Lonchura striata: one gene and its partners. The protein of the gene in region 1 interacts with the protein of each later gene in a pairwise test. Links are inferred from orthologs where the notes say so. Each region holds a gene or a part of one and is shown on either strand. Other genes may lie near its edges. The genes, in order: UBE2E3, CNOT4, RNF111 and MUL1.

Region 1 (7,937 bases):
ATAAGAGCAATACTGTGAATTTCATGCAAATAGCAGGCCTTAAAAGGTGAGCTAACAGAAACTGCTCTGGATGTCCTTGCATTAACATCACTTGCATTAACATTAAATAAGTTCAGTAAGCCTACTGAATTATGTGAGATGCATGGAATTACACTTGCAACAATTAAATGAAATAAAGACAATATGGGAAAATTCAATGTCAAAACCCTGTATCTTAGGCTTGTCAAATAAAAGACAAGTAACAACAAATTACAAGTGCTGCACAGTAGTTGCAAAACTTTTTTCTCTTTAGCCAGTCCTATTTCAAAGGGTTTCTTTAACAAGCTCAAAAGTCATCAAAGGCATGCAGCCATTCTCTGCAACAATTTTAACATATTTCAAAAAGAATTTACTAAGTTTAAGTCCAATACAAAATTACTAAAGTGCTCATAAAAGTCAGAACTACAATAGTTACGCTGAATAAGCAAAATTTGAAGCTAACTACAGCTATTTTTCAACTTTTCTTGCTACTGGATACTTGTAAATGTTTTCAAAGAAAAGCAACTCCAAGGAAAGGACTGGAAAGTTATGTTTCATCTCCAAAGACAGCCGGAATTAAAGAATTTAAAGTTTGAGTATTTCACACAGCTGATCTTTGAGAAAATTACCAGAGTAATTCCTGAGAGCCCAGCTGCCAATAAACTTATATGCAAATGAAAGTGCAACCAATATAACTAAACGAGGTTTCTGAAGATTCTTATATTTAAAGGCAGAGGCTACCTGTAGAATGTCACAGGTTTAAATCCACAGCTCCTAAGGGAGAAAACTCACCTAAGTTTCTCCCAGGAGAATGGCAGAATGAACCCATTCCTTCAAGGTGTGTAAGGCTCTCCTGTGCATCATCATGAAAAGCTCTCATAAGGCCCAGAGAAGCCACTGGGGTTTTATGACTTCTTTAATTAGACAGCATTGCCTGTCATCAGTCTACCAACCATAATAAAATATTCCAGGAGGACTCCACCCTATACCAATCAGGCATGGAAACCTAACTCAGAAAAAAGCACCAAAGATCTCTCACACATTTTTGAAAATACAAAATGTACCTAGGTGCCCCCCTCCCAGTCACCCTGTAAGTCACCAAGTTCTGCACCAACTCTTCAAAAGACATAGCACTATTCTGTTTAACTGCTACCCCAACAAGACTTAGATTAATTAAAACACTGCTTAGCAGGCTCCTGTCAACTACCAAAGCTGATAGTACATTCCCTTCCACACAGCTTTACAAGAAGAATGCCTCTGCCCTGACAAGCGCAGTGCAAGTACTGTGACTCCAACTATGTGCAAAAATACTGCAGGACGTTTCACGCCCTCCTTTACCTTTTTGCACTAGTAGATAGTTTAGCAGTAGTTTTGCTGGATAGTTTGGTGTTCTTCTTCTGCTGAGTGGCAGAGGGCTTTCGTTCTTCTTGCTCTTCAGGTTCAGGTGCAGGCGGATCCCTCTGATCGGCATCTGAACTACCACTGCTGGTACTTGGACTTTCATCGTCTGACCTCTGCCTATCACTGGACATCGTGGGGAACTTTTTGGGGAAAGAAAAGAGACAGAATTAATACACAAGGAAGGACTCTCTCTTGTCATTCCCCAAGTTCCGCTGACCTCTGCCTACCATTGGACATCATGCAGAACTTTTTTTGGGAAGAAAAGAGGCAGAGTTCATACAACAGGCAGGACTCTCTCTTGGTATTCCCCAAGTCCCAGAAAACTTTGAATAGGTGACAAGTCAGTTTCAGTGAGAAATTAATCAAAATATACTTCTTTGTCTCATACACAAGGGCTGGAGTTTGACAGCTACAAAGCAATATTTACACTTCTGAAAATACAGATATTTCCAATTTTTAAACCCACTCACATTTTTTTTCATACTTTAAACAATATGCCAATTGTCGACTTTGTTTAAGGCATGAGACAGATTTAGCAGAGTACTTAGGCAATGAGCATTAATAACTTATGACACACTGTAAATAACAGACCTCACTGAAAATGTTTTTTAAAAAGTCACTAATAACCCGTAAATATTTACACTGGGACAGAGCATTTTATTGGGTCCAGATCCCCCACTCTTCCCCTCTCTCCGAGAAAATACACTGCCAGTTACACTTGGGTTGATTTCAGATGGAAATGTACACTTGCTCTGAGCATTTAAAGGGCTGGCACGCGGGGGAACGAGGTCTGGTTTTTTATCGGTGGTAGGGCTTTTTTTGGTAAGGGGAAAAGCCCCGCGACGCATTTAAAGCCACTGGGGTAGCAGCAGCCCCGGTTATTTACATGGCCAGCAGCGAGAACTGCATTTGGCCACCACAGAGCTGCCGGAGGGGGAAGAAGCATAATTCAAACTGCACCTTCTGCACGGCTCTCCCCGCAGCTCCGCCAGGCAGACCGACATTTTTCCGCCGATCGGGAAGGCGGGGGGGCGGGGGGGAGAAGGAGGGGGCTGCCCCGGCGGCCGGGGGGGCCCGAGGAGGAGCGGCGGGAGCTGCGGCAGGGCTGGATCCGGGCGGCCGCCCGGCCGCGCTTTGTGGGGAGCGCCAGCCCGCCTCGGCTCGCCTCGGCTCGGCGGGCGGCGGCGGCTCGCCCGGCCCCGCTCCGCACCGTGCGTGTGCACCAAGTGAGGCGTGAACTCGGGCCGGCCCCGCGTCCCCGGCCGCCGCCAGGCAGCGAGCGCCGAAAACAAGAACAAAGCTCCTCTACCAGCCCCCCCGCCTCCTCCCCGCCTCCCCCCACCGCGCTCGCCCAGCCGCCGCGGCGGCCGCCTCGCCCGCCGCTCCCTTACCTTCGCCGGCGTCCTGTCCCGATGCTGGGTCGGAGGGGCGGGATGGCGGGGGGCCGGGCCGGGCCCGCGGCGCCCGAGGAGGGGACGGAGGCGGCCGGGGGGCTCTACGGCGGCGGCGGCGGCTCTGTGGCCGGGCAGTGTGGAACATTGAGAGCCGGAGCAGGGGGGGACGGGGGGAGGCGCGGTGCGGCCCCGCGGCCGGCGGGTGGCGCTGGCGGGCCCCGCTCTGCGGCGCGGGCTCCCGCGGCGGGCCGGGAGGCCGGGGCGGGGGGCGGCGGGCGCGCGCGGCGGAGCGGAGGCGGGGAGGGGGCCCGGCCGCCCCCCGGGCTCTCCCCGCCCCGCCCGGGCTCCCCCGCCCGCCCGCGGCCGCCGGCGGAGCTCCCGGCGAGCGGGGGAGGGGAGAGGGGGCGCTCGCTCCCGTCTGCCGGCCGCCGGGGTGCGCGCAGGCGCGCTCCCGCCGCGGCCGGGGGCGCGCGTGCTCCGGGCCGGGCAAGGACAAAGCGGCGGCCCGGGAGCGGGGGGGGGATCGCCCCTCGATGGCCGCTCCGCCCGGCCGGGCGCCTCCCGCAGCCCTCAGCTGACCCGGTCCCGGGGGCTCCAGCCTCCGGCCCGCCGCGGGACTCGCCGGGCCGGTGCCCGGCAGAACGGCGATGCCCGGGGGTCGTGCGGTGTCCACGGCCCTCGGCCTCGCACCTCGCACGCCTCGGCTCGTGCCGCGCGCCCCGCGTCAGGCCAGGGACACGCGGGAATGGGACCCTCGACCCCAACACCCCCAACGCCTGCCTTCGGCTCTTGGAGCTGGAAAAACACCGGCCACCCTGCAGCCTCCCCACTCTGAATAGAAGTATTCACCATCACAACCAGGGCTGCTCTGCGAGCAACCAGCGCGCCAAATCACAAATGTTTTAAAGAGGAAAGGGGATAATTGACAACAATTGTGGTGTCACAGAAAGGTGCTATGGTACGGAGATGCAGCTTATTTTCTGGCCCGTCCCAAATGCACGGTGCCGGTGTGCGCTGAACAGCTTCTCACACTATCTGTCCATAGCAATCCACCAATTTAGGGAATGTAAATACTCCAGTTTTAGAGCCTGATCACGCTGGCGTTAAATTCCAGTTTCTTTAGAAAGATCTTATCTATCTGGGAAAAGTAGATGAGGTTGAGCTGGTGGATTACTGGCTTCTGCAGAGAAGAAATTAACAATTACTATAAATATTTGTGAAATGTACATGAAATCTCAAGGCTAACAGTTGCTGTCCAGCACAAGGGCTTTTGCCTAGATAGCTTTCATCATCAACAGCCTAATGACTTAAAACTGCTGTGTTTTCTTAGCTTGTGCAAGATCAAGGGCTCAAAGAGCATGTACCATGCTCTAGAGGGAATGAAGAATTGGTGCGTCAAGGAGTACCCTTCACTGGCGTTAGCTGAAGTTAGCTCATGCTGAAGATTTGGCAGGAAAGTTGAATAATACGATGTAGGGGAATACTGGAGGTTTGTTTCTTAAAGTAGGCTATAGAGAATTCCCAGCTCACCACTACAGGCAATTTGCCCCTGAGGTATGCTGTATAAAATTCCTAGCATAAACAGTATCTGGCATGATGAGCAATCTGGGCATAATTAGTAAAAGGAAAGCAAGGCAGTATCAAAAATCTATCAGTCAGCACTGAGAGCCTTTGCCCCTCCCCTCTTCCCATTCTGTTGATGATGCTCAAGATGAAGCTTGCTGGAACTTTGAAAGTCAGGATTAAGTCTTTAAAATTATTTCAGGTGAAAATTTGCAGTCATCCCAAAAAAAAGTAGTAGAAAAGTGTACATCTACAGAATGAAAGTAAGTAGATTGGCCAAGAGTTGCACACCACATCAGCTACATGTGTGGCTTTTGTGGCTTTCAGGATACAAAGTGAAAATTAAGAAAGCCCGTTTAATGGAGACTAATAGAAAAATTATTCTAGATTTTATTTTTTTTCCCAGCATTTTTTACTATTTTAAAATGAATTTACTACAGCAATGTGTGGACATAACAGATATTTATTTGATTGAATATTCATTAATTTGACGTCAGGTGTCAAAGGATGACACTTTGTTCTTATGAGGTTGTATTTTCCTTGGGCTCATTTGTTATTCACAGAAAGAAAATGTTTTCTTTCTGTGTTATCATCCACATAAAGAGGACTGCACTGAAAGGTGCAGTTTGAAGGAGAGGGAAAAATGCCAATTTTAGTAGTTATTGTTACAAATCTACACCTCTGTGATTTTTCATATCCCTCATAATTTGCCTTCAGTGTAATTTTAACTGATGTACAGAGTCATGAATGTGTTTTCTCTGTCAGTTTATTGTGTGCTCAAATTGTGGAAGTGCAGCTGGCATTGCAGAGCCTTCCCAAGGAACTCCTGGGCACTCAGGCTGAGGCCTACATTTTTTTCCCAGTTGCCTTTCTTGTTTGTGTTTTGTTACTTTTGTTTTCTTTGGGTTATTTTTTTAGAAGCCCTGTTTGCAAAGGTGGTAGATTGGTAGCTGGTTTTTTCAAAAGCCCAGTATCTTTTTGGGTCTGTCTTCCTCCCTGTTCTGTCAGAGCACAGATATGAAGTTTCTGTTAGCACACAGAGGTTGAACAGTTGCCTTGGACTGCACAGACTTCTGAATATATTTTTCTAGATTTAGGAGTTCACAGCTGGGTCTCCTCCATCTGACATGAAGTTCTTAGATAGCAAACAATGGGACCAAAACTAGGTGAAAAGCATTTGGATCTCCTGACCCAAATAATTTTAAGGGCGTACAGGTGGTAAAATAAAGCCAGCATACATTTTTCATGATTAAGAGCAGTTCAACTCAGTTCAACAGTTTACAGTTGTGTACTTCATCTTTTTTATTAAAAAGTCATAGTTTCCTGACAGTAAATTCATCATCTAGAAATGCATCTCTCTGTCCTAAGTGTATTCCCATTCCAGGTTGTGTTAAAGCCCCTGCTGGACCCCTACTACAGCACCCTACTGCAGTGCTACAGATAGATGTGGACAGGCTGGAGAACCAGGAAATGAACAATTTATTTTTTTTTTAAGTGGATGGGGTAAGATTTAGATTGTGTTTTTGTTTGTAGGTAATGTCACAGTAGAAACTAGTGCTCTTTGTAAGGTAGCTCTTTTTCAAATATTCAGTGTGTCTTGTCCCAAGACAATTGACAGTTTTAACAGAGAGTTCTAGGAAAGCAGACAATGCAAAAATCTTGGGCCAAGAAGGCATGTAGTGACTTACAGAAAGGAGTACAGGAAGCCTGCAGTAGCTGCAGCTCATCCTGTTGTGCCTTCACCATAACTCTGATTATTCTTACATTGTGATGCTGTGGATTCTTTGGGGTTTATGAAGGAAAAATAAGCCCCTAAAGAACAACGTCCCTACTTCATTTGTGTTCTCAAGAATTTACAAAAACAGTGGAGGTAAGTTTTTGAGAAATAAAGTCAATGTGGCAGTGGACAGGAACCAGCCATTAGAAAGCCACATCCTGGTCCCTTTGTCAGCTGGTATTCAGCCCATCTGTTAGTTTTGTGTTGCCACCATACAAAGTTTGGCATGGGAATATGGTGGAGGAAGGATTGGAAGAGGGCTGGGCGGAAGAGATGAAGGCAAGAGCCAGAACACTGCTGTGCTTCAATTGTTCTTGTTTGAAGGATGACTTTCTGGAGGCTGCTGTAGCTCAGCAATAATCCTGAGACTGCTCTAATGCAGCCTGTCATGAGGCCTGGAAGTTGGGATTCTTACAGGACTTTTCAGGATATCTTTCCTTCTCTGAATCCTTGCATGATTGAATAAATCAGGAAGAGAATTTTGCCAACTTCTTTTAACACAGGAGTTAGCTGTTTAGCTGGGATTTTTTTATTACATTGAATACTGCTAAATCCATAGAATGTATCTAAATCCATAGAAAAATACTTAGCATGCACTAAAGCACCACATATATTAATTAATCTTCATCATAATCCTAAGAAGTAAACCATAAGTCCTACTGTTCAGCATATGCTGTATTTGACAGTTGTATATTACACACTGGAAGGCTAAATGGTCAGTTGGCTACTGGTTTTTAATGGGCAGACTAGCATTAGGTACTTAAAAACATAACAGATAAATGCATGGTTTCAGAGCACAGAGTAACGTGGATATGTTTGTATTAGGGTGTTCCCATGGAGTTCTTGTGTTCTGTTTTGTAAATTCTTTCCTTGTATGTGGATTATTGATGCAAGTTAGAAACACAGTGGCCCCTTTGTAGTTCCTGTAGTCATTCATATGAATTCAGTGCAGTGCATGTCAAATGAATATCAGTGCTTTAAAAAAATCCATCCTTTACTTTTTGTTGAAAGCAGCTTGAATTTACCAGCATTTAATTGCTGTAGTTTTCATTTTACTTGGAAAGCTTTAGGAAAAACAAGAAAATTAGAGAAAATTTGGGTGGAGTTGTTCTTGGCTACTGGACAAAAGTAATTTGACTTTCGTAAGGATATTTCCCTCAATAGCTAAGCATTATTTCATCTGTAAGCAAGAGGATTTTTTCCTCTTTTACAAATTTTAATTGTAAATTTCTCCTTGATGTGTAGATATGTGTAGTTATAGTTGTGTTAATGCATGTAATTTTTAGTGCAGTGTCTTGAATATTTACTACAGTAGAGTAAAATGTAAATACAGACTCTACCTGTACCAAAGTGTGAGATCAATAGGTCTATAAGTAACATCATAAATTCCATAACATTATTTTGTGGTATATATTCAGCAGTATAGTGTGTAAATCATAAGCTAGGGAGAGCACAGCTCTACAGATACAACTCTGGCAGACCAGCATTTCTGGGCAACTTTCGGTATGAAATCTGCCCCTTTTCTGCTCACAGGTGTAGTAAAATTGTGTTGTCATTCTTGGTGTCTGATAATCTGCTATGAAAGCTGTAATAGTGAATAATGTTGAAGGCCTAGTGAAAATTACATTTCCCTGTTACAAATAGAGACATTCCACTCCTAAACTATCTCAGATTGAATTATGTGTAAGTCTACACATAATAAGTATATGTCTTAGTGCTATCTATATACTGCTTAGATTTTAAACCTTTGGCTCTGTAAAAGCTCTGGCTCCAAAAGACCAAAG
Region 2 (7,340 bases), on another chromosome or scaffold:
CAGGAAGAACCAGAAGGTAGGAGCAACAGCTCAAGCCATGCCAAACCATTTTCTGCTATACTTAATTTTCCAAGTCTGGAAAGCATTTACAGTTGTTAAAATGTTAACCAACTTCATGAAAGGAATAAATTCATAGACTATTCTCCAAGAAAGAGAAGAGGGTGGCCCAGAGGGATGGGGAGTCTATTTACTCATAAAGTTCTATCTCCTCACACTGCTACCATCCAATAAAAATGTGACTAAGCAGGTAGAAAGATACACACTGAAAAAAAAAAAAAAAAAAAGAAAAAAAGAAGAAATAAAGCATGTACATCTTAAAAGAGAGAAAGCATTCAGGACATTGAAGCAAGTTAAGTTATGGAGTCTTTCACATATGCACTTACTCAAGTTATCTCAGCAATACAGCATAACTGCAAGTAGGACAAGAGGTGGTTTGTACAACCTAAGGCACTATTCACCGTGTGAAAGTTTAAGAACCCTTGACTCTAGCAGTCTTGCTGAGCAAGTAACTTCCTTTCACCATGTGTTAAAGCCTATAGATCAGCCTCATCTTACCAGAGCAACCAAGGCCCAAGATGCAATCTGTAATCAGCCACTTAACAGTTACCTGTGCTTACAGAGTGGTCCATTTGAAATAATCTCATTTATTTCAAAGAGGCAGGTGAGATTTTGAGCAGTAGTTGCCAGAGTTAAGCCTTCAGGGCCCATATTTAGGATCTTGGTCAGAGCTATTTCAAAAACATTTAACTCACAAAGAATATCCTAACTTCTATGAACAATAGCCACAAAGGAAAACGGGTATTTTTACATACAGATTATTTTGAATTAAACAAAAAAGCCATGTACTTGTATATACTCTCTCACCAGCCTTTTTAAGTTTTTTTATTTAGTGGGCACTGTAAAGATATTCTTAAACTTTCTGAGGCACCAAGAAACTAGTAGAGCACTAATCCTGACAGACACTCATCACCTTTTCTCTGTAAAGAGAAAAATTGTTAGGATCCTCCAGTACTCCTAATTTTAAAAACAAATGAAAAGGCATCTAAGAAATATGCAAGCTAAAAGAAGACAAAATTTTATCACTGTATTCCCCCTTTCCAAAACAATCTTTTTCCCTAAAATGAACTTAGTTTGCACTTCAGCCAAGTATTTCTAAACATGTGTTCATCTTGTTTAGGAAATGGAAACTCTATCACAGAATTCCAAAAGCCTAAGGTGCAGCACAGCTGAATCCTAGACCACAAGTTAGATCTCTACATTAATACAGAGGTGCTACAAAACTAGCAGTATATTTGACTATTTGTAAGCCATATGAAACTAATTCACCCTCTTGAGTCAAACAGCTGTTTTATTCCCTGCTCTTCATAAGCCTGCATTTTATTTTTCTCCCTTTTTAAGCAGTAAAAGGAGCTAGAAAACGTTTCAATCTTCCACATATTCATCCTTCAGTATGTGTGCTCTTCTGTTAGTGCCAGACACCATGTTTACATGAATATGAACTCAAAGTACAGAGATGCTCAAGTCAAGACATTTCAAAACTAAACCAAAACACAGTTAAAACACAGCAAGTTAGAAATGTGTACAGGCTCAGTAAACATGTGACTAGTCAACATTAACTCCTAAAACTTTTGGACAGGAGTAAGCCAATATCTGCAGGTCTAGAATTTCCGCAGTTTTAAGCAGCTGATAGATTTTTCTCACATTAATATACACTCTGGAGAAAATTGCTTCTCCTATGAACAGCATACTTGGTATTACCACACTGACAGAAGCATACAAGCCACGGACAATTAAATCCTTTCTGGCATAATAACGAAGCATTTTAAGATAATTATCTAGTATTTTCCCTCCCCTTTTACTATACATACAAAGGCACTGGCTGCTCACTTTTAAACTGGCAGGTAGAGCTGTAGGACCCTCGCTAGAAGCAGGATGAGCACTCATACATAGTCTTGTTATTTGCTTCTGTTAATACACAAAATGGAAAGAGCTTCTAGAATTTTTGCAAGCAGGAGACGGAAAGTTACATACCAGTTATTTTACTGACAGACAAATCTCAGGAGGTTGCACGGACTGTCCAAAATAACACCAAAATTAAGACGCTGCTATTCACCATCTGTTTGCCTCTCCCTCAGGAAAAAAAGTGCATATCACAAGAAGAAATGGAGCCTGGCTCCAGGGAGGAGGAAGAAGGGAAGAGAGGAAATTTCCACGCAAATTCTAAGTGAATCACGCTGCGATGCCCGCGCCTGGCCGCACCGGCCTGCCCCGGCAAATGCGAGCGGTTCCGGGGCCACCGTCCCTCCGCCACCCCGGCCGGTGGCCCAGCCCGGCCCAAGGGCTTCCCGGCGCCGGAGATGGGGGTGAGGAGGAAATAAACACAGCTCCTCTGGGCAGCGACACGGACGGAGCCCCTTCCACGGTGCCCCCAGGGAGGAGGAGCCGCCCGCTCGCCCCCGCGCCCTCCCCTCACGGCCCGGTGCCCTCGGCGCCCGGCAGCGGCCCGGCGCGTCCTCCCGTCGCCGGGGCTGCACCGGCGGGTGGGCTGCGGCCTGCGCCGTCCCAGCGAAGCCTCGGCGCTCTCGTAGTCAGAGCGGCCCGGCTCCCCCCCGCCTCCTCCTCGTCTCTCCTTCCCTCCTCCTTCCCTCCCCGGCCCGGCCTTCAGCTCGCACTCACCCGCCTTCCTCCTGCCTGCCCGGCCCGCGGTGCCTGTGCGCGGCTCTCCCTCTCAGGCTGCCCAGCGCGGCGGAGGCGGCCGGGCGGGTGGGTGAGCGAGCGTGCGGGAAAAGAGGCGAGGGGAAAAGGAGGAGAAGGGTGGGGAGGGAAGGAGAGAGGCGGCGAGGAAGGAGAGAAGCGGAGGGGAGAAACCCACAGCGGTGCTCCTGGGGCGGGACGTGCGGCGGCGGCCAGTCGGGCGCTCGGACGGCTGCTCCGACGACCTTTACGCGAGGGACGGGCGATCTCCGAGCTCGGGGCGCTCCGCTGCCAGCCCGGCCACCATCTTACATTGGGGAGACTTGCCCCGGACGCCGCCCCCGCTGCGCGTGCGCTGCCGGCAGTGGGCGGGGAGCGGCGCGGGAGGGGGACGGGGCGCGACGGCAGCGGCCGCGACGGCGCGGGGCATGACGGGACTTGTAGGCGGCGGCGCTGGCCCAGGCAGCGCGGGAGGAGGCAGAGGTGGCGGCGATCATCCCGGAGCGCGGTCCTCTTCCGCCGGGCCGGGGAGCCGAGCCCTCCGCCGGGCAGGGCCGTCCCACCGCCCTGCTCCGGGAAGTCCCCGTCCGTAAACTCCCTGCAACTTCAGCCGCCTGTTGCTGGACATTGAACCGCGCGGTTTTCAAGCAGTGGGTTGATTTCTTTAAAAATATTATTTTCCTGTCATTGGTGTCCCTTGGAGTTTTTTCCCCCCCTGCCGGGTCGAAGCGATCCCGTGTAGCTCCCCGTCGGGCTTTGCCGGCTGTTGGCTACAACGCCGGGGGCTGTGTTCTGCCGGGAGCCTGGCGCGGCTGCCAGCGGCTCGGTCGGGGCTGGCCGCGGCTCCGCCAAAGCCGGCCCCGGCGGCTCTGCCCGCGGCGCCCGGCCCCGGCGGCTCTGCCCGCGGCGCCCGGCCCCGGGCGGCTCTGCCCGCGGCGCCCGGCCCCGGGCGGCTCTGCCCGCGGCGCCCGGCCCCGGCGGCTCTGCCCGCGGCGCCCGGCCCCGGGCGGCTCTGCCCGCGGCGCCCGGCCCCGGGCGGCTCTGCCCGCGGCGCCCGGCCCCGGCGGCTCTGCCCGCGGCGCCCGGCCCCGGGCGGCTCTGCCCGCGGCGCCCGGCCCCGGGCGGCTCTGCCCGCGGCGCCCGGCCCCGGGCGGCTCCGGCTCTGCCCGCGGCGCCCGGCCCCGGGCGGCTCCGGCTCTGCCCGCGGCGCCCGGCCCCGGCGGCTCTGGCTCTGCCCGCGGCGCCCGGCCCCGGCGGCTCTGGCTCTGCCCGCGGCGCCCGGCCCCTCGCCCGCCGGCAGAGCGGGACTGCGCCCCGCCACAGCCGGCCGGCCGCGCTCCCCGCCACCTTTCCCACCCCCGCGCCGCCTCCCGCCTCGCCCTCCTCGCTTGATTCTCACTTTTTATTTTGTAGAAACTCAGGGAAACTGCATTGCTTCTATCCCCTCTTTCTACCACAGACACCCTGTGCCATGGATCTGTTCAAATTGCACCTGTATCCCTCTTTTCTGTGATCCCCGATGGTGCACAGAAGACCTCATCACCTCAGCTGACAGAGAGTGCTTTTACTGATCGCCTTTATAGCTCTCTTGTGGCTTTTCTGGCCTGGCATCCTTAGCTCTCAGGACAGCCAGCCTCATCGTAGATGTTTAATTATCAATTATCTCCAGTGCACAAACTATTGCTATTTGTGCCATGACAATATTCGCCTGAGAATTTTACTTATTTCAGCAGTTCGTAGGACAAATAGGTGTTCATCACCAAATGCACTGGCACAACCATTACATTTAGTGGCATAGATTCTTTTTCTCCTGTAATTTTGTTTCTTAGTTTGAAGTATTATACTACTACAGTTTTGTACAAGTTGCCTCTTCAACTAAAAATGTTTGTGTTGACATAGCTTATCTTCTTCTGAAACAAGTTAAGGTTACCTTGTGCATATTAAATTTTAGACTGATATATGTATCTCCCCCACAGGAAAGCTCTATAAATCAACTCTTGCTGTAGGCAAGACCCAGGTCAGCATAAAAGACTACTGTTTGCAGCAGTAGTCTTGATATGTGAACTCAAATGCATGTTATTCAGAAAACAAAACATAATATGGAACACAAATGCCTATATATGTGAGAAATCCTGTTTCTCTGCATATATCTTAGACTGTAACATATACTTACTATATCATGTAAAAGTATATATAATGTAAAATGTAAAAGTAACTAGTCAGTATATATTAATCTAATTCAGGTGAATGTATGTATATAACAATGTATTTCTCAAAAACTTTATTATTTTTACATTTTCCTATCAACTGATATATAAACCATTAGGTTCCAGAAGTACCAATTATGTAAGTAATTTATATAAGTAATGTGATTGTTGACACACCTAATAACCAGCAACGTTTCCTATTGAATAAAAGCAAGTATTCTGACTTGGAAAGAAAGGTTAAAAATAATATAAATGAAAGCTGTGATTTTGAGTCAGAATTGAGGCTGTTAATATTAAGTGAATTCTGTGCTTTCTTTTAATTCAGAATTAAGGAGTCTTTCCCTTAGTAAAATTCTGTTCAAATCATGTTGCCAAGACCTACATGAACAGATAGCAGCAGTATCCAATAATAATGTAGGAAAAAATCTACATGACTGAAGACTACTCTGGCTGATGTTACCAAAAGTTATCCATAGCCCTGCTTCCACCTCTTATTTAATCTGGTAAAAATAATTCACTAGGTCATTATGTGGCCATTTTAAAGTTTTAAGATGTCCTTAAATTAATTCTTTTATTAGTTGTAAGTATTTGTAATTGCTTTCGTAAGATTACTTAACCATATTTTGTCACCTTATTTACTCTTGGAAATGTTTGGGTTTCTTTTTTTGAATGAGTCTGATAACTCAGCAGGACTGTTTCTAAGAAATCATTTCCACATTCATAAAGAAAAGCTTTTGGAATACATTTTCTTGGAAATAACCAAGCACTAGCTAGAGTAAAAATGTCTGTTCATATGATTGATTTATATGATTTATATTTTGATTTATATGATTTATATATGATTTATATTTTGCTTTATGGCAGCATGGCAGCACTGGTCCATTTCTCAGGAATGTCCCTTTCTTGCATGAAGTTTGACCAGCAGTCACAAATAGTAATATTTGAGGCAGTGCCCTGAAGTTTGGGTTGGATGTGCTGATACATATAACCCATGAGACAATATTAAGGAGGGAAAGAGGTGGTACTCAAAAAAAAAAAAAAAAAGTGTGCATCTGGAGGAGCACACACATACTGGAATTGCGGTGGAAGCCATCAGCATTCAGCAGGAGAGATTAACATACTTGATCCAGATGATCTTGTAAGAAAAGAGGGCACTCAGGGGCCAGACAGCAAAGAAACCTTATCACATTATACAATGAGGGAAAATTATTCAAATATGGGTAGAATCCTCTCATAAACTGGATACAGGTCATAGCTGAGAGCTAGTGAGCCTGGGTTTCATCCATGCAAAAAAAGAAAGTCCAGCCACTTTAAAACAATCGTTACAAATATGCTCAAGCCAACTTATCTGAAATATTTGAAGTAACATCCCTGTGTAGGCAGGACTTCATTATGTTACTTATTATTGTTTTCAGGGAGTCATCACCTGCTCTTTAAAGCAAAACATACATTATGAGACAGAATGATTGCTCATTATTGTTATATTCCTTAATTGCCTTCTATATTAGTGCATTCAAAGGAATGTATTTTTCCTCTTCTGTCCTTCTCTGCCTTCATCCAACAGCACTCAGCATTTTCCAGAGCTCAAAATTGCTCACATTCTTACAAAAATGCCTCAGCCATATGCGATTTGCTGAGATGAAATAAAAAGTGCATGACTTGAGAAAATGCAATACTTTCTCCTGCATATTGATTCCATGGCTGCTGTATAAACAGGAACTGTCCATTACAAGAACTTCCACTGACTTTTTCTTGTGTTGGAACTCATGTTCTGCATAAGCCAGGTGTGACAGGAGCTCACCTGTCAAGAAAGTATGACGTTGCATTAAAGGGTTGGCATGAACTTTGACGCTTGTAAATATATTGCGCCAGCCAAGCTCCAGCTGCAACCTTGCAATTTTCCAGACAGATATATTTCCTTTTGCCAAAAGGAATGTGAGCTACTGCAGCTAATTTTATGCTATATAAATAATGCTGATAGAGAGACAAGTCTGAGATTAGATAGGCAAAGTAATAGCTTAAGTAGGAAAGTCAAAGCATTTATTAATCAGAAATATGAATTATGTTCCTTAAGGAGCTGAGGGAACCAGCTGTAATGAGGACAAATGAGAGATCTGAGAATAATTAGATCAGTTTTGCATATAGGCAGCACTGTAACTGAGACTCTTTATGACAGAGATGCTTGTACAGAGAAATTTGGCTCTTATATTCTGATAGAGAACATTCCATCTTAGCTTGTGCTTGACACGCCGACAGAAGGAAAGGAATGTTGTGCTGTGTGCCTTGTGCTGCTCTGCCCTCTTTCCCCTCTGCTCCATCTTTCCCCTATCACTCTGTACCATGACTGGACCAGGCCAAGAGCCACTATGGGTCAGGAACATATCCACAGGGATCAGGGACCAAGCTGGTATGCTAACCATATTTTATAGATTAACCAAG
Region 3 (7,442 bases), on another chromosome or scaffold:
TGAATAAGAAAAAGAACTATTAAAAATACTGTCAACAAACTAGCTATTTCCAAGTAATTATATACACCACACCTTCTTAATTATATGGCAACTTAAATACTTAAGCTATCAGATAATCTCAGAAAGATACTGTGAGACCTTAGTAGGAGTTTGCATAATTTTTAAGTCATGTGTTGTGAAAATGCTGTTTCTAACCTTACAGAGCCTTATCTGGCTGTACAACATGAAATCAAATGAGTGACTGGTAGGTCAGTTCCATATCAACATTATACTGTAATGCAGGGTATTTTGTTTTCCCATATATCATAAAAATATAAATTACTATAAATTACCTGAGTGGTGCATGTTATTTTCCAGAGCTTTTGAAAACTCTTTAATTGCATTCAAAAATTTCCATCAGAAAATATATAGCACAGACAACCATCAAGTTTTATTTTTGATTCTGCAAATGATCATTCTTTTCTTGTTTCCTAGTAGAAATTTATCATAATATAAATATTTCAGGACTTTTTATCTTTTCCCTATTTCTCCAATATTCATGGTTAAGATCTTCATCTGGGCTAACTAGAGCTGTGACTGTTTATCATCCAAGTATCAATCCCAGAGTTTTTTTGATCTAACACAGAAATGTTTCTGTATTATCTGGTTTTCTGTATCGTCCTCACAACATACTACAACTTTACATTTTATTACTATTACTAGTAATTGTAAGTTGCCTTAACTCATGCAAGCATTTAAATATATGCTTGAGTATGGTCCGTAAACGGCAAGGATGGCCCTGGCTGCAAGTGACAGCTCCACCAGCAGTGTGCGTGTGACAGATCCACACTCCTGGCTATGGGCGCAGGTTTAGAGGTGGACACCTTCCATGCTGTCACAGTTTTAGAGGTAGACCCCTTCCATGCTGTCCTGGCCACGAGCAGGCTTCATCCAGCCCGGCCCAGAGCAGAGCCAGCTCTCTGGGAGGCTGTGCAGCTCGGCCCACGGGGCTGTTGCAGAAGCTGCTGCTCACCCCTGGAAAAAGCTGTGCCTTGTTCCATTCTGGGCCAGCAAACTGCTCCAGCAGCCCTGCATGAGCTGTGTCCAGCCAAGTAGACAAGCTGCTGAAGGCACCTCAGGATAACTGGGTTACTCTTTTTAGTCTTTTTGCCAAAAATGTAAAGTGCAATCTTCTGCTGGCTGGCATGTTTTGATCTTGGATAAGATAATTTCTTCTCCGTGTCTTTAGTTCTGCCAGGCCCTGGGGTGTACATATAAATGGTTTTGTTCAGCTGTAGTTAGAAGAAGTTGAGGAGTTCAGTATGAACTGATGACATCATAGCCTGAAAGCCATTCTGAAATTTGCATTAGTGATTTAGACTTATTCAATTTAATCTTTTGGTTTTCTGTACCTAAAAAGTGTGAGAAGGAGAACGTTTTGGTTTGTTCCAAGGAATCAGTAATCTAATTTCAAGACAACTGTCTCTGCAAGATACGAAGATAATGGCAGAAAAAACTTCCATGAAAGGGCATAGATAGAAGGTTGGTTTTGTTTTAATAGTGAATAATTCTGGGCACTTAAGTATTTTCTACATCACCTTTCTTTAAAAAAGACGCTAATAACCAGTCAATAATGGACAAACTAATTTTTATCAAGAGTTTATTAAAGGGTGACTGGCCCACAAATTACTAGATTCTTGTCAGCTGGTGGTCCATATTGAAATAAGTGTTAGGAAATCTTAGCCAATAAAGATCCTAGAAATTCTGCCTTTATATTACAGAAAGGTCCACAGATTTGTACCCAGTTTGAACATTTACAGATCATTTGGCCACTGTGACTTCTCACTGGGACAAAATCAAGACTGACTATATTTGCATTTTAATTTGTGAACTGAAAACTTTATCCATGATTTTTGTTTTTGAAATGATCTTTTGTATATCTTTCAGTTGGTGAGCAGAGAGTGACTCTACATTTTCTCTACCAAGAACTACCCTTCTGTCACCTTTGACACAAGAGTTCAAACCAATTATTACGTAAATGGGTAAATACGTAACTAGTTGGTAAGGTTTTTTATTGGTATAGTCTCTCATCAGCTTATTCACAATGCTCCTGTGTCTCATTTCTTAAAGCAATCCAGCCAAATTTTATTAGCTTCCTCTCATACAATCTATACTGTTTTCTTGAGTGTCCCACTAAGATTAGAGTTAATCTTCCTTGGATACATATTTTAAAAAAGCTGCAAGACTACATTAGGAATAATATTTGCAATAGCACTGAGACCTCTCTCTCTTAAAATTATTTAAACAAAATTATTATAGAGATATATTTGCTTTTTCATGTCTACAAAATGTTGTTGACTGATGGTCATTTACTTAATTACATTGGTAATTGAACTTCGCATCCAGCTGCCTTTTACCTGATAAATACCCAAAACTTTTGGTCATTAACATTCAAGTGCACATTCTTTGTATTTGATGTTTTTTTCACTTTGCTTCTATTAGTCCTCAGGGTCATTTACTTCTTCCCATATATTGTCTTGATTGGTTTTTTCCCAGCTGATTTTTAGTAAAGTATTCCAACTTTGGATCTAGTGCTTAATGGAAAAATATTAAAATTGCTTACACAGTCAAGCCACTGGTGACCCCCATGGAATGATAGGACCTTCCTCCCACTGTCTGTTGCTGTCTTCACATTCTCCCCAGTTTCACTGGTTATTTCATCTGTGGCTCGGTGTCTGTGTTTACTTTTTTAAAGTCATATATATGACTTTAAAAAAAGAAAACTACCCAACACCACGAGAAATATGTAGAGAAAGGTAGACAATTAATGTTGGAAAACCTGTGTTATTGTCTTTATTGCAAACTGAAATTAATTGTTGCTCTGCTCATGGAACCACATGAAATAACCTGTGATCCTTTTTGCATTTTGTACACTTTTGGATATATATTGAAGTAGAGTCTAATTTCCATGTTGTTTTATCCACTTTTGCTTTAAGGAAATTCTGTTCAGAAACTCATGCAATTATTTAATGAAATAACATGCATTTTTCCCCAGTGACCACTTCTTTTGTAATGATGCATGCAGGTTGTTTAGCTCCTCCAAAACACGTAGGATCTGCTGTGTATTGATGACTCTCTGGTGCAGTGCCTTCTGAGTAAAATCTCTAACTATTTGTAGACCAGACTGTACCTGTCTGCTCCAAAGCCTCGGGTTTGTGTAGCTGCTGGTCACGGACAGTATAGGACCCCTGTCTATGCAGTGTTTCAATCTGGAGCTGGAATGTGTACCCTGACATTGATGAAAGGTCATCTCTGGCAGAGGTATCCTGGCCTCTGGCAGTTGCAAAGTCAGCAGACGCTGAGGCTTGCTGCTGTCTGAGAGCCTTCCCAAAGCCTCGTGTTTGCTGTGCTGTCCGTGTCACACACGGCCGCTGTCGGGACAGGTCCTCACCGTTTGTGTGCACATAGGAATGCAGCGGGGAAAGGCTCACCTCATCCCGACTCTGTGCAGTAAAGACAAATAAACTCCTATTTCTAACGAGCTGGGATGGAGAGTTGGGATTTGCCGGCGTGTCTTCGCAGCCGCAACTGTCACTGGCTGCAGGACGGGCAGCCGCGAGGTACTGCGGTGCCAAGGGAGACAGCGCTGGGAAGAAAAGGAATGGTTCTGGACAGGTGCTAGAAGGGACATCGCAGAGGGGCAGGCTGGAGCGGCCGCAGGGGCTGCCCCGCTGCTCGAGCCGGCTCCCAGAGCCCCCGGCGCTGGACAGCGTGCTCCCGCTCCCGGGCGCTCGCTGCACCGCCAGGTTCTTCCTCAGGCCGGCTGGGACGTTCTGGGCGTGTTTCTGCCATTGCCTCGTGTCCCATTCCTCGGCACCGCCGAGCAGAGCCCGCCCTGTGCTCTGACACCACCGCTTTACAGATTTACACACAACCGCCTAAAGGCAGCAGCAGCGACGGCAGCCCGGGCCGTGCCGCCGGTCCGGGAGCCCATCCCGACGTGCCCGCTGCCCTCAGGAGCCCATCCCGACGTTCCCGCTGCCCTCCCGAGCCCATCCCGACGTGCTCGGTGCCCTCAGGAGCCCATCCCGACGTGCTCGGTGCCCTCCCGAGCCCATCCCGACGTGCCCGCTGCCCTCAGGAGCCCATCCCGACGTGTCCGCTGCCCTCCCGAGCCCGCCCTGCCCCGCGCGGTCCGGACCCGCGCTGTGGCGGCGCCGCCGGCCGGCAGGGGGCGCGGCGGGAGGCGGGGCGCGCGGCGGCGCGGCTGCGCTTTGCGGGCGGCTGTAAAGCAGCGCCGAGTGTCGCGCGGCGCTGGGCAGGGAGCGGCGGGGGCTGCGCCACAACAGAGCGGGGCCCGCCCGGCGCCGCGGCCGCACCGGGACCGGAGCGCGGCAGCGGCCGCACCGCCACAGCCGGCACGCTGCGGCCTCTCCCGGCGCGCCGGGCAGCGCCGCGGGGTCACTGCGGCGCCCACCGGGGCCGCTTCTACCGCTCGGCCCTGCGCAGGGCGCCGGCGGCACCCGCCCCTTCCCCCGCGGCCTCGCTGTCTCAGGTACGGGGGGCGGCGGGGACCCGCGGGTGGGGCCGCGGCCGGCGGGGCGGCCCCGCTTCCCCGCCCGGCACTGACGGCAGCGGCGAGCGGCGGGGCTGTGCGGCGGGGGGGAACTTCACGCAGAATGTGTTTTTCCTTTTTTATTCAGCGCCTCGTTGACGCACAAAGCAGTGCCTTCACTGCGGGCAGCCGCAGCACTCTCTGGGGTTCTGTCACAAATTTGTCACAAATTTTCCCCTTAGGGAAATGAGTTTCTATTTCTGTGCGTAATAGGGTCTGTTATGACGTCATTTGTTTTGTTTGCGAAGTTAGTGTTCTCTTAACCCATGTTTAAAAAAAAAAAAATCACAATTTTCAGGTGGTTTTTTTTGCCTGATGAACAAGGAAGTAACGTTCATTCAGAAATGTAGGCCGGGATCTTCAGAGGTACGTAGGCTTGTCACTGTTGCAATGGGCAGGTGTTAAGGGTATGTACTTTTCAAAGTGTCTGTGTTTCTCTGGTTAGGGCTGAGCATGCATTCATGGAATTTTCATGTTGTTAGACTAAGCTCTTCCATGGCTTGAAATTATTTCATTAAATCATAAGCAAGGCCTGGTTGCTTTAGCTGATTAAATGAGACCCTTAATTCCTGATACCCAAGTACTTCTCCAGAAGAGGATGTAATGCAGGAGGTAAGAGTTTGCTGTAATTAGAATAATTTGATTCTAATGCAATGATTTCAGAAACAAAGGTTTGAACAAAAATATAAGAATTGACTGTTAATTGTTGTAGACCTGGGTTTGTCATGGTATCTGTATTATAAACTATTAAAGGAAAGCTGTGTTTTCAGGTGCAGTATAAGGTCTTACCTTGTCTTTGTTGTAACTTGCAGAAAATTCCAAAGGTATATAAGTGCTGCATACTTAGTAGAAAGCTTTTTCAGGAAGACTAATATTTAAATAGTTACAATGCTTTGCCAGTTTTAAAACCAGAAATTACATCTTGTTGGTCACATATCCATAGTTCTTGCTGTCAGAACTATTTAAGCAATTTAAGTGTTTTTGCACTTAATTTTTTTGGATAAAGGAACTGTCTTGGGGCAGGGAGGGAACAGAAGCAAACCCTGTTAGGATGATGCTTGCTGATGTGCAAGGATTGATAGGGAAAGAAGTGATCTTGGTTTATTTGATAGAGCAAACATCTGGTCACCTGTCCTGTGTACTCATCCACAGTATAGAATCACCTCTGGAATTCATAAGGTAGGAAAGGCTGTAGGAACATTTTATGGTTCACTTTAATTAAATAATAGTGCACAAGGCACCAAGCTTCCTATTTTAAAGTCTTGAAGTCTCACATATGTAAAAATCTGTTTTTTATTGATGGTTGAAGCCCTGGCAGCTACAGATGAGATTGTCTGGTATTGGAAGCTTGAGGATGAGCAACAGCTCACAGCATTCATGCATATTTTGAATGTGCTTTCAAAACATGGATGAGAGCATTCTGACCTTTCAGGAATATAGCCTTTATGAAGCAATGGCTTTTGTAAAAATGTATTAAAAATGTATCTTAACACAACTGTGACTCACAGTTTATATTTGAATTAGTGACATTGTTGACCTACATAACCAGATCAGTTATAGCAGTTGATTTTCACTGGAGTTACTGTGTTGCAGTAACATTTAGATGACAGCAGTTGCTGCCTTTTTTTCCCAAGGTGTCCAATCTTTCATTTCAGTTTTTTGTATTTCTTCTAATGGTGAGGACAGTCTTTTCAAAAAAGATAGAGGTGATAGTTCCCTCCTCCATAGCTGATGTATTATAGAGGCTTGCATGTCAAGCAGTTGAATAAATAGGGAAAAATTGAGGGGGGAGTGTGATGATGGGATGGGGAACATGATGATTTAATTCACAGGTAAACAATGGGGATTGTACAGAGAGCTAGATTTGCCATAGGCACATGTTGTATAAAGGGTTCCTCATGGCTTTCCTGATGTGCAATCTCCTTTAAGTGAGTTGTCAGCAGAAGTTTGGCTTGGTAAAAGAAACATTTTCTTTTCTGCCTTTCCCTCTGCCCCATTAGGGTTCTCTGCTAGGCCTGACCTGAGCCCACAAAAAAACCCCCACCAATCTGTACTTAACGTTGAAAAAAGTTCACTAGTTAAGACTTCAGTTGTAGATACATTTTGTTTCTTACAAGAGCACTGTAAACTTTGAAAGTGGCTACACTGACAAAACTCAGGAGACTTCAACTTTGAGCAGCTATCCTATCCTTACCTTGTACATGTATCCAATACGATATTACTCAATATGCATGTTAATAAATCTCTTTTCAACCTTACTGACATACAAAGAGCCAAACCACTACAGATCTAGTGACAAAATAGTATTATTTTGTTGTTTTATATAGTTTATGCTATTTGGAAAAGGAATTGCTCTAAATTAAAATTATATCTTCCTTACTAAGTGTTCACCAAGTGAAATCTGAGAAGGCTGGTTCATGGCTTTACTAGCAAGAGGCCAGTAAGGGCAATCTCTTTTTTTTTTTTTTTTTTTTTCCCCAATATAGTTTAATCCTAATATTTGACTGCTGTTAAGTAAAATGTTTACTTTTGTCTCTGCTGGGTGCAGAGTGGAGAAGTCTGCTGCAGTGTCCTTTCCCCTGAAACTGGTAGATCAGTTTAGTATCTATAAAATCTCCTTCTTCCCATAGGTTTCCTGAAAAACAGCATAAAACTGCCCTAATGGTTAATTTCACAATTCTCACTTGAAAGGTTCTTACTAGCAGCTGTGGCAAAGATCATGTTTAACTTTGTTCCTCAAAGCTTTATTGAGAAGTGTTTGCAAAATGCACTACATCAAGAAGAATTACACATACCTCAAAGGTCAAAAATGGGACTAAGAAACAATTTTTTAAATAATTTTTGATTG
Region 4 (7,620 bases), on another chromosome or scaffold:
CAGGCACCTCACCCTTTGCAAGGAATCATCTCTCAAAATCACCCCCAGATTATAGCGTGAGCCCTGATCAGCTGCAGAGTCACCTTTTCAGACTCAGCTCTGCCCCCCTGGTGAAGCACCCACTCCCTCAAGCTCCCTCCCCTTCCCCAAAACCCACCACCCAAGCAGTGAGGCGACAAAACCGCTTTGCCAGTGGCAGCTTTAAATCCAAAGTCTCCCCCCGGGGAACCACAAAAAGTTAACTGTTGTACAAGGGAACCACCCTGGTGATGCCCTGCCTGCAGATTGGGCACTTTTTGGGATTGGGAAGAGCCTGGTAGCACTCGTGGCAGGAGCAGACGTGGCCACACTCCAGGAAAACGCAGGATTTGGTGCTGCTCAAGCAGACCACGCAGGCGTTCTTGAGCACCTCCCCCCCCTCGGTGTTCGTCAGGCGCTCCTGGGCCAGCCGGAACTCCTCCTGCATCTGCCGGAGGCGCTGCCGCTCCCGGTGCTGCCGGTACTGCTTCCGCAGCAGGAAGAACAGCACGGCGCACGTGGCAAAGCCCGACACCACCGTCAGGATCTTCCAAAAGCGCGCGCCGGACTCTTGCTTCTGCAGCAAGGACTCGAAATCCAGGGAGCTCAGGTAGTAGGGCATGCCCTGCTTTGGGGGCTGCAGCTTGATGGTGGCGTTGTCCAGGACCAGCTCTCCCACGCCGGTCAGGGCCGTGCCCACCTTCAGCATCTGCTCGGTCTCCTGGATGCCCTTGGGGCGCTCCCCGCTGATGTAGTGGCCGATGACGTCGGTGAAGGACTGGACAGACGGGTGGAATTTCTCGTACACCGTCTCCAGGCTGAGCTCGGCAGCCTCCAGAGGCTTCATCACCCGGACGGTGACGCCGGCGCCGTCCTCGGCAGGGACCAGGTCAAAGGGGGTGGTGTTGGTTCTCTGGTGGATGATCTTCTCGTAGTCGTTCCTGGGGAGGGAGCAGGGGGGAAGTGAATGACTGCCCCTGGTGGGAAACACTGCCTGGGATCACCTGCTGGGTCTGGGGACTGCCAGATGGGACATGCCTGAGTGGAGCTTCTTTGATGGGGGCCTCTGGAGAACACCTTTCCCCTCATGGCACTGTCCAGGTGTGCACGAGGCCATTCCACCCCCATCTCAGTGCTCCACAAGTAGTGGGGGCTTTCCCCATCCCCACCTACTTCTTCCTCACCTGCCTGTGGCATTCCCAGCTGCCAAAAACCATCCTGTGAGGAGAAGCACCACGTGTCACACATCCCAGTTTGGTGTTGCCAAATGCTTATCAAACTGCATCACTGGGCTCTGCTTCAGCAGCTCTATGACCTCTGGGTGTATGGATTGCCCAAATCCAATTAATTTCTGTTCTGCAAGTGGGTATTTTTTGGAAACACCATCCTCTGGTGGGGTAACAAGGTGGGGCTGATCAGTGTTCAGCTCGTGGTGGGTTACTCGATGTGCTCTTCTCCTCCAGCCCCTCTAAAATCAGCCAAATCCAGCTCTAAAATCAGCCAAACCCCCATTATGGCAGCTGTCACTGTGGGGGCTACTTTGAGACCCAGCTTTGAGGCACTTGGTCACTCTGGCCATGTCTGAGGCCGTTTCAGGGTGACAGACCCCCCAAGGGCACCACAGGCACATACCAGAGGTGGGTGGTTCTGTTCCACACCATCTTGTGCTCCTGCAGTGTCAGCCTCTGAACCACGCCCTTGCAGTTCTCCACAAACTGACTGCTCAGGGTGTCCTTCACCGACCGCACCACACCTGCAACGGAGCCCAAGGCCAGGTGAGGGCTGACTGAACAAACCCTGGACGAGGGCTGGGAGTGACAGGACCATGGGGAATGGCTTCAATGGGCTGCTAGGAAGAAATCCTTTCCTTCCTGTGAGGCTGGGCAGGCCCTGGTACAGGTGCCCAGAGCAGCTGTGGCTGCTCCTGGATCCCTGGCAGTGCCCAAGGTCAGGTTGGACGGGGCTTGGAGCAGCCTGGGACAGTGGAAAGTGTGGCTGCCCTTGGCAGGGGGTGGCACTGGATGAGCTTTAAGGTCTCTTTCAACTTTTAAGGCTTCTTTCATTCTAGAATTCTAAGATGGAGACAAAAGGGCTGAGAGCCCACATTTTCTGCTGTCAGGAGTCTGTGGCTGCTTGGCAGGGGGGAGATGACCTGATGGGCACAGGAGGAGGAGCTGGGGATGAAATCCCCCAGTGAGGAGCAGCTGTGGGGCAGGATGTGCCCCCCCTCCTCCATTTGGGACACTGCTTTGGGTCCTGTTTGAAAGAAATGTGGGATTTGTCTTTACAAACAAACTGTGGGTCTGCTGGTAGATAAAACTAGATACTGAGAGATAAAAGAAAGAATAGGAAGAACCATAAATGCCACAGGAATTCTACGGACTGACCCAAGGAAAAGGAAAGTGGGATGAGGTTATACATTAGAAGGGGGACTTAGGTATCAGGCATTTCAGGAAGTCTGTACCTTTCAAATGCCTCAGCCAATACAGAAAGAGAGAGAGAAATGACAATAAAAAGGAGGCTGCATCCTCTAGTAACCTGAGAGACCCCATGGGAAATGCCCATGACCTCTCCCTTGATTTGAATAAAGTCACAGGACTCCTCCGTCTCCTTTTTGGACATAAGCCTCCGGTGTTTGTAGACGACCCTACCTTCTATGACCGCATAGGGCACGCAGCGTCCGGGCGCCTCCAGCAGCAGGGCGCGCAGGTCCCCGTCCAGCCGCACCTTCCTGGCGCCCTGCGGGGAACAAACACAGGCCGCGGCTCAGCCGGCGCGACCAGGCCGCGGCTCGGCGCCCGGGCAAACGCATTCCCCCGTCGCACCCCTCACACCCACCTCGAGCCCGCTGGCCACGCGGGCCTTCTGGCGGTAGATGGAGTAGAGCAGGGCGGTGAGGGCGGTGCTGGCGGTCAGCAGCACGGCCTGCGCGGCCGAGGGCCGCCCGCTGCCCTCCATGGCCGCCTCGCGCCGTTACCACGGCAACCGCCCGGCGCGCGGCGATGACGTCAGAGCGGCGCTCCGGCAGCCGCGGCGCCGCCATGGAGACGGGCGGTCCGCCAGGCCGGGGGGCAGAGCCGGACTGCGGCCGCCCCGCACGGAGTGGGGCCGGATCCCGGCCCCGCGGGGCTCTGGGGAGTGAATCCCACCCCTGGGAGTTTACGGGACAGGTCGCAGCCTCCCCACCCCTTTAACCCCACCCCCACCCTGGGGTCTTGTGGGGGGATCAAACTCCAGCCTTACCAGCATCCCCAAATCGCAGCCATCCCTTAGGATCTTGGCAGCTGGCCCCAAATCCTAATGCCACCGGTGTGGGCGGAGAGCATCCCCCGTACCCCCCTACTAGAGGGTGGGGGCAGCCCGAATCTCACCCTTCTGATAAGTTTGTGGGGGCAGTGGTCAGACCAAAGCCTGTCCCCTCGTGGCTAGGAGGGGATATCTCCCCAAATCCCAGCCCTATAGCCCCTTGGGGAAGGGGTTGCAACCCCTCCCTGGCCTGGGGGGGATATCTCCCCAAATCCCAGCCCTATAGCCCCTTGGGGAAGGGGTTGCAACCCCTCCCTGGCCTGGGGGGGATATCTCCCCAAATCCCAGCCCTATAGCCCCTTGGGGAAGGGGTTGCAACCCCTCCCTGGCCTGGGGGGTATATCTCCCCAAATCCCAGCCCTATAGCCCCTTGGGGAAGGGGTTACAACCCCTCACTGGCCTGGGGGGGGATATCTCCCCAAATCCCAGCCCTATAGCCCCTCGGGGAAGGGGTTACAACCCCTCACTGGGCTGGGGGGCAGCAGCACCACGTCCCGCCCCCCCAGTGCGAGTACTCAGCCTCAGGACGCAGCCCCCAGCCCCACTTTGCAGAGTCCTTTTCCCACGCCCCACAAAGGGCCATGGCAGGGTGGCAGATCCCTGCTGGTGGGGACACAAACCCCCCCTACCCCAACTCCCACCCCCCACCATTTCCTTACCATCGCTTATTCTGGGAAAGCAGCAAAATGGGAAGAAAAAAATAGAAATGTTTTGTAAATTATTGATCTTCAGGCCCTTGGTGCTGATTTGGAGTGGCGGGGTGGTGCAGGCAAGTTCTGCTCTCCAGTGGGGTCCGAGGGGCCAAAACCCCATCACTGCTCCCCGACGTGGGCGGCACAGCCGCCCCCCCGGCTCTAGATTTAAAAAATCAAGTTGCCATGGCTACGCAGAGCAGCTCTCCCCGCCCTCGGTGCGGCAGGAAAGCACTGTGGCCCCGCAGCCCCCCTCCTTGGCTGGCCTTTCGGGGGGTGAATGCAATATAAACCCCCCAAACTGCCTCAGAGCCAAGCTTAACTCCGCCGTCCGCCAGGCTCCGGGCAAGACACAGGCGCCGTCACACCGCAGAAAACACACATTCACTTTTTTATTATGGCCGCTGCGGAGGAGGCACGAGAGCAGGTTCATGTGCGGGGCCGGGGGGCTCCCCGGGGTGCAAGCCCACCCCCGCCGTGGGTCTCGCCGCGAGCGGAGCTGCTGTCTTGTCCGGAGCGGTGCCCCAGGAGGGCCCAGCCGCGGCCGGGGCGCAGGGCGGGCGGCGCGGGGCCCGGTGCCGCGGGCTCAGCACACGGCGGCGCGGGGCCCGCGCAGGCTGCAGCCCCTCATGTCGCTGGCCAGCCGCAGCACGGCCGCTCGCTCGGCGTCCCCCAGGGCCGTGCCGGCGCCGAAGGCCTCCTCCTCCTCCTCCTCCAGGATGGAGCTGAGCCGAGGGGCGCAGCGGGCGCGCTCGGCCGGCGGGCGGTAGGGACACTTGGCGTTGAGCAGCCTGCGGAGGGGCACCAAGGGCACGATGGCGTCGCCCAGGAGCTGCTGCTGCACGTGGCGGAAATCGCTCTGTCTCTTGAGGCGCTTGAACTCGTTGAAGGCGGAGGCCGAGGTCTGGTAGAGCAGCAGGGCCATGGCGCGCGCCTTGTCGGCCTTGGAGACCAGCACGGCGTGGCAGCGCAGCACCACCGCCTTGTTCTTCACCTGGTGCCGGTACACCCAGGCGAACACCTTGGGGTGCCGGCGGTCGGCGGCGCAGTAGGTGATGCGGTGCAGCAGGTACGCGTGGCCCGGCCGGCGGGCCCCCTTCTCGCAGGGCGTCATGCGGATGCCGTGGGGGCCCAGCGTCAGCGTCATCTTGGCCCCGCCGGCGCCCGCCTCGCTCTTGGCCCAGATCTTGCCCACCGCCTCCTCGGTGCAGCCCTCGCCCTTGGCGTGCAGGGTGACGGCGTTGCCCAGGTACCTCACCGTGTACGTCGGGTCCTCCTTGTTCAGCTCCACTTTCTGGCGCTTCCCGCGGAAGACGCTGCCCAGGCGCTCCAGCGGGCACTGGGGCAGCAGGTCCGGGCAGGAGCGGAGGAAGCCGGCCAGCAGCGCCGCGTAGCTCAGCCCCGGCCCCAGGCTCTTGCCTTTGCACTTACGTTCATTTTCCACCAGCACGAACTTGCTCCGGCGCCAGGGCAGCATCTCCGCTCCGCTCCGCTCCGCCAGTGCCGGCCTCGCTCGCAAGCAGCGGGACCACCCCCCCAAGCCCCGAAGCCGGTTTGGGGGGTGTCCCCGCACCCCCCGCGCAGGGGGTGTCGTCCCCTACCCCGGCGGCGGGACGCGGCCCCGTTCCCGATCCGGCTGCCCACGGAGGATGCGGAGCCGTGGAGCCGCCGCGTTCCGGGTGCCGCCTGCGCCTGATGCTGCGGGAGCGGCGGCGGCGGCTGCGGGGACGCGGCTCTCCGTGGGCTGCTCCACCTCCTCGAGCACGCGGGGAGCCGCCGGTGAGCGGCCCCCGCCGGTGAGAGACCCCCGCCGGTGAGCGGTCACCAACGCTGATCGGCCCCCGCCGGTGAACGGCCCCCAAAGCTGAACGGCCCCCAAAGCTGAACGGACCCCAAAGCTGAACGGCCCCCAAAGCTGAACGGCCCCCAAAGCTGAACAGCCCCCGCCGGTGAGCGGCCCCCGCCGGTGAGAGACCCCCGCCGGTGAACGGCCCCCGCCGGTGAGCGGTCACCAACGCTGATCGGCCCCCGCCGGTGAACGGACCCCGCTGGTCTGAACGGCCCCCGCCGGTGAACGGCCCCCGCCGGTGAACGGCCCCCGCCGGTGAACGGCCCCCAAAGCTGAACGGACCCCGCCGGTGAGCGGCCCCCGCCGGTGAGAAACCTCCGCCGGTGAACGGCCCCCGCCGGTGAGCGGTCACCAACGCTGATCGGCCCCCGCCGGTGAGAAACCTCCGCCGGTGAGCGGTCACCGACGCTGATCGGCCCCCGCCGGTGAGAGACCCCCGCCGGTGAGCGGCCCCCGCCGGCTCCGTGCGCGCTCGCTGCGTGCCCCGGCAGGGATTGGAAGCCGGGGGGAATCAAGCCCCCATCCCCATGCAGCCGCCAGACCCCCGGTGCCGACACCCACCGGCGTGAGAGGAAATTCCCTGATTTCCCACCCGGCTGGGGGGTTGATTTTGGGAGGGTCAGATGATGGCTTCTGACACTGGAATGACAAAAAGGTGGGGTTTTCCCCCCAAAGCAGTACGTTGCACAAGGGTGTGTGCCAGGATTTGCAGATCCTGCAGGTTTGCTGGCATTTTTTCTTCCAGACCTCCCTTTTGCTCCTGTTATTTCCAAGCCAGTCAGACCTCCTTGCTGCTCCTCTCCTTTTGGGCTGAGCTGGCTTTTAACCTGTTGCTTTTATCTCTGGCCAACCCCCTAAGACAGCTGTTCTCCAGGAGAAATTGAATGTTGTTTCCCCATGGCACAGCTCGGGGGGAATTTTTGGGGAGGTTTTGCAAGGTTTCAGCCCTGCAGTGGAGTCTGAGGCTGCTCCAGGATTCAGTGCCTTTGGCTCAAACCCTGAGTTCCACCTTCTTTTTTTTTTTTTTTTTTCTTACCATCTGGATGTAAAGCAGGGAGACCCCTGGGCTTGGGGATGCTCTGTTTGCCTTGGGATTGAAAAATGAGGTGGAGAAAGGGGTAAAATAACACCATGTGCCCCCACTTTTAGTCTACTTGGGGAAGAAAAACAGAGTGGGGTGTTGCAGGGAAACGGGAAGCCATTTCCTAGCAGCTTCCCAGATTTTCTGCAGTTTGAGTGAAGCAAATACAACCTTAAAATAGCAGCTTCACAGGCAGACAGCACCAGCCCCACTCTCTCACTGCCGCGGCCTCGACAGCCTTGAAGGTTTTTGCAGCCAAAATAATAAAAAATGCATGGATTTGTCTGGTTTTCATCTTTTTTGATGCAAACATGGGCTGTGTGGTTTGCTCCCAGTGCTTGTATGGTTTTGGGGAGATGGCAATTAGGGAATTAGTGCTAATGAGGAAGATTTCTATCCATGATAGCCTCTGTCTTTAGTAATTTCTATTCTTGCCCTCGTTGACTTGAGGTGAGGACTGTGTTTACTTGCTTGGTGTTCATATTGAGAGGGCAGGTGTGGACCCACCCTGAAAGCTTCTTTATTTACAGATCCCACATTATTTGGGTCAGGGGGGGAGGGGGCCTGTGGTGTCCCTCTACACTGGTTTGACCCCACAGTGCCACCCACAAGTTGCCCTAGGACTGGTTTTCCTTTTTTTCTCCCAGATTTTGGGGTATATAGGGGGAAACAAC

Evidence for each region.
Region 2: the proteins of UBE2E3 (region 1) and CNOT4 interact in a two-hybrid assay, tested with the Homo sapiens proteins (3 studies listed by BioGRID and IntAct). The link is inferred for Lonchura striata from reciprocal best matches to the Homo sapiens genes UBE2E3 and CNOT4.
Region 3: the proteins of UBE2E3 (region 1) and RNF111 interact in a two-hybrid assay, tested with the Homo sapiens proteins (2 studies listed by BioGRID and IntAct). The link is inferred for Lonchura striata from reciprocal best matches to the Homo sapiens genes UBE2E3 and RNF111.
Region 4: the proteins of UBE2E3 (region 1) and MUL1 interact in a two-hybrid assay, tested with the Homo sapiens proteins (2 studies listed by BioGRID and IntAct). The link is inferred for Lonchura striata from reciprocal best matches to the Homo sapiens genes UBE2E3 and MUL1.

The regions. Positions count from the first base shown.
Region 1 is NC_134610.1:23,812,236-23,820,172, reverse strand, and holds the start of UBE2E3 (ubiquitin-conjugating enzyme E2 E3), read right to left. Parts: upstream 3,002-7,937; 5' UTR 2,811-3,001; intron 2,432-2,810; exon of another isoform or gene 2,380-2,431; intron 1,560-2,379; 5' UTR 1,551-1,559; coding exon 1,357-1,550; intron 1-1,356. UniProt on the Homo sapiens protein: Accepts ubiquitin from the E1 complex and catalyzes its covalent attachment to other proteins. In vitro catalyzes 'Lys-11'- and 'Lys-48'-, as well as 'Lys-63'-linked polyubiquitination.
Region 2 is NC_134607.1:56,511,370-56,518,709, reverse strand, and holds the start of CNOT4 (CCR4-NOT transcription complex subunit 4), read right to left. Parts: upstream 3,001-7,340; 5' UTR 2,677-3,000; intron 1-2,676. UniProt on the Homo sapiens protein: Has E3 ubiquitin ligase activity, promoting ubiquitination and degradation of target proteins. Involved in activation of the JAK/STAT pathway. Catalyzes ubiquitination of methylated RBM15.
Region 3 is NC_134613.1:10,560,190-10,567,631, reverse strand, and holds the start of RNF111 (E3 ubiquitin-protein ligase Arkadia), read left to right. Parts: upstream 1-4,426; 5' UTR 4,427-4,534; intron 4,535-4,646; exon of another isoform or gene 4,647-4,960; intron 4,961-7,442. UniProt on the Homo sapiens protein: E3 ubiquitin-protein ligase. Required for mesoderm patterning during embryonic development. Acts as an enhancer of the transcriptional responses of the SMAD2/SMAD3 effectors, which are activated downstream of BMP.
Region 4 is NC_134626.1:7,632,553-7,640,172, forward strand, and holds the start of MUL1 (mitochondrial ubiquitin ligase activator of NFKB 1), read right to left. Parts: upstream 3,008-7,620; 5' UTR 2,977-3,007; coding exon 2,857-2,976; intron 2,758-2,856; coding exon 2,670-2,757; intron 1,772-2,669; coding exon 1,651-1,771; intron 960-1,650; coding exon 239-959; 3' UTR 1-238. Other genes in the region: protein FAM43B, read right to left, coding at 4,603-5,493. UniProt on the Homo sapiens protein: Exhibits weak E3 ubiquitin-protein ligase activity. E3 ubiquitin ligases accept ubiquitin from an E2 ubiquitin-conjugating enzyme in the form of a thioester and then directly transfer the ubiquitin to targeted substrates.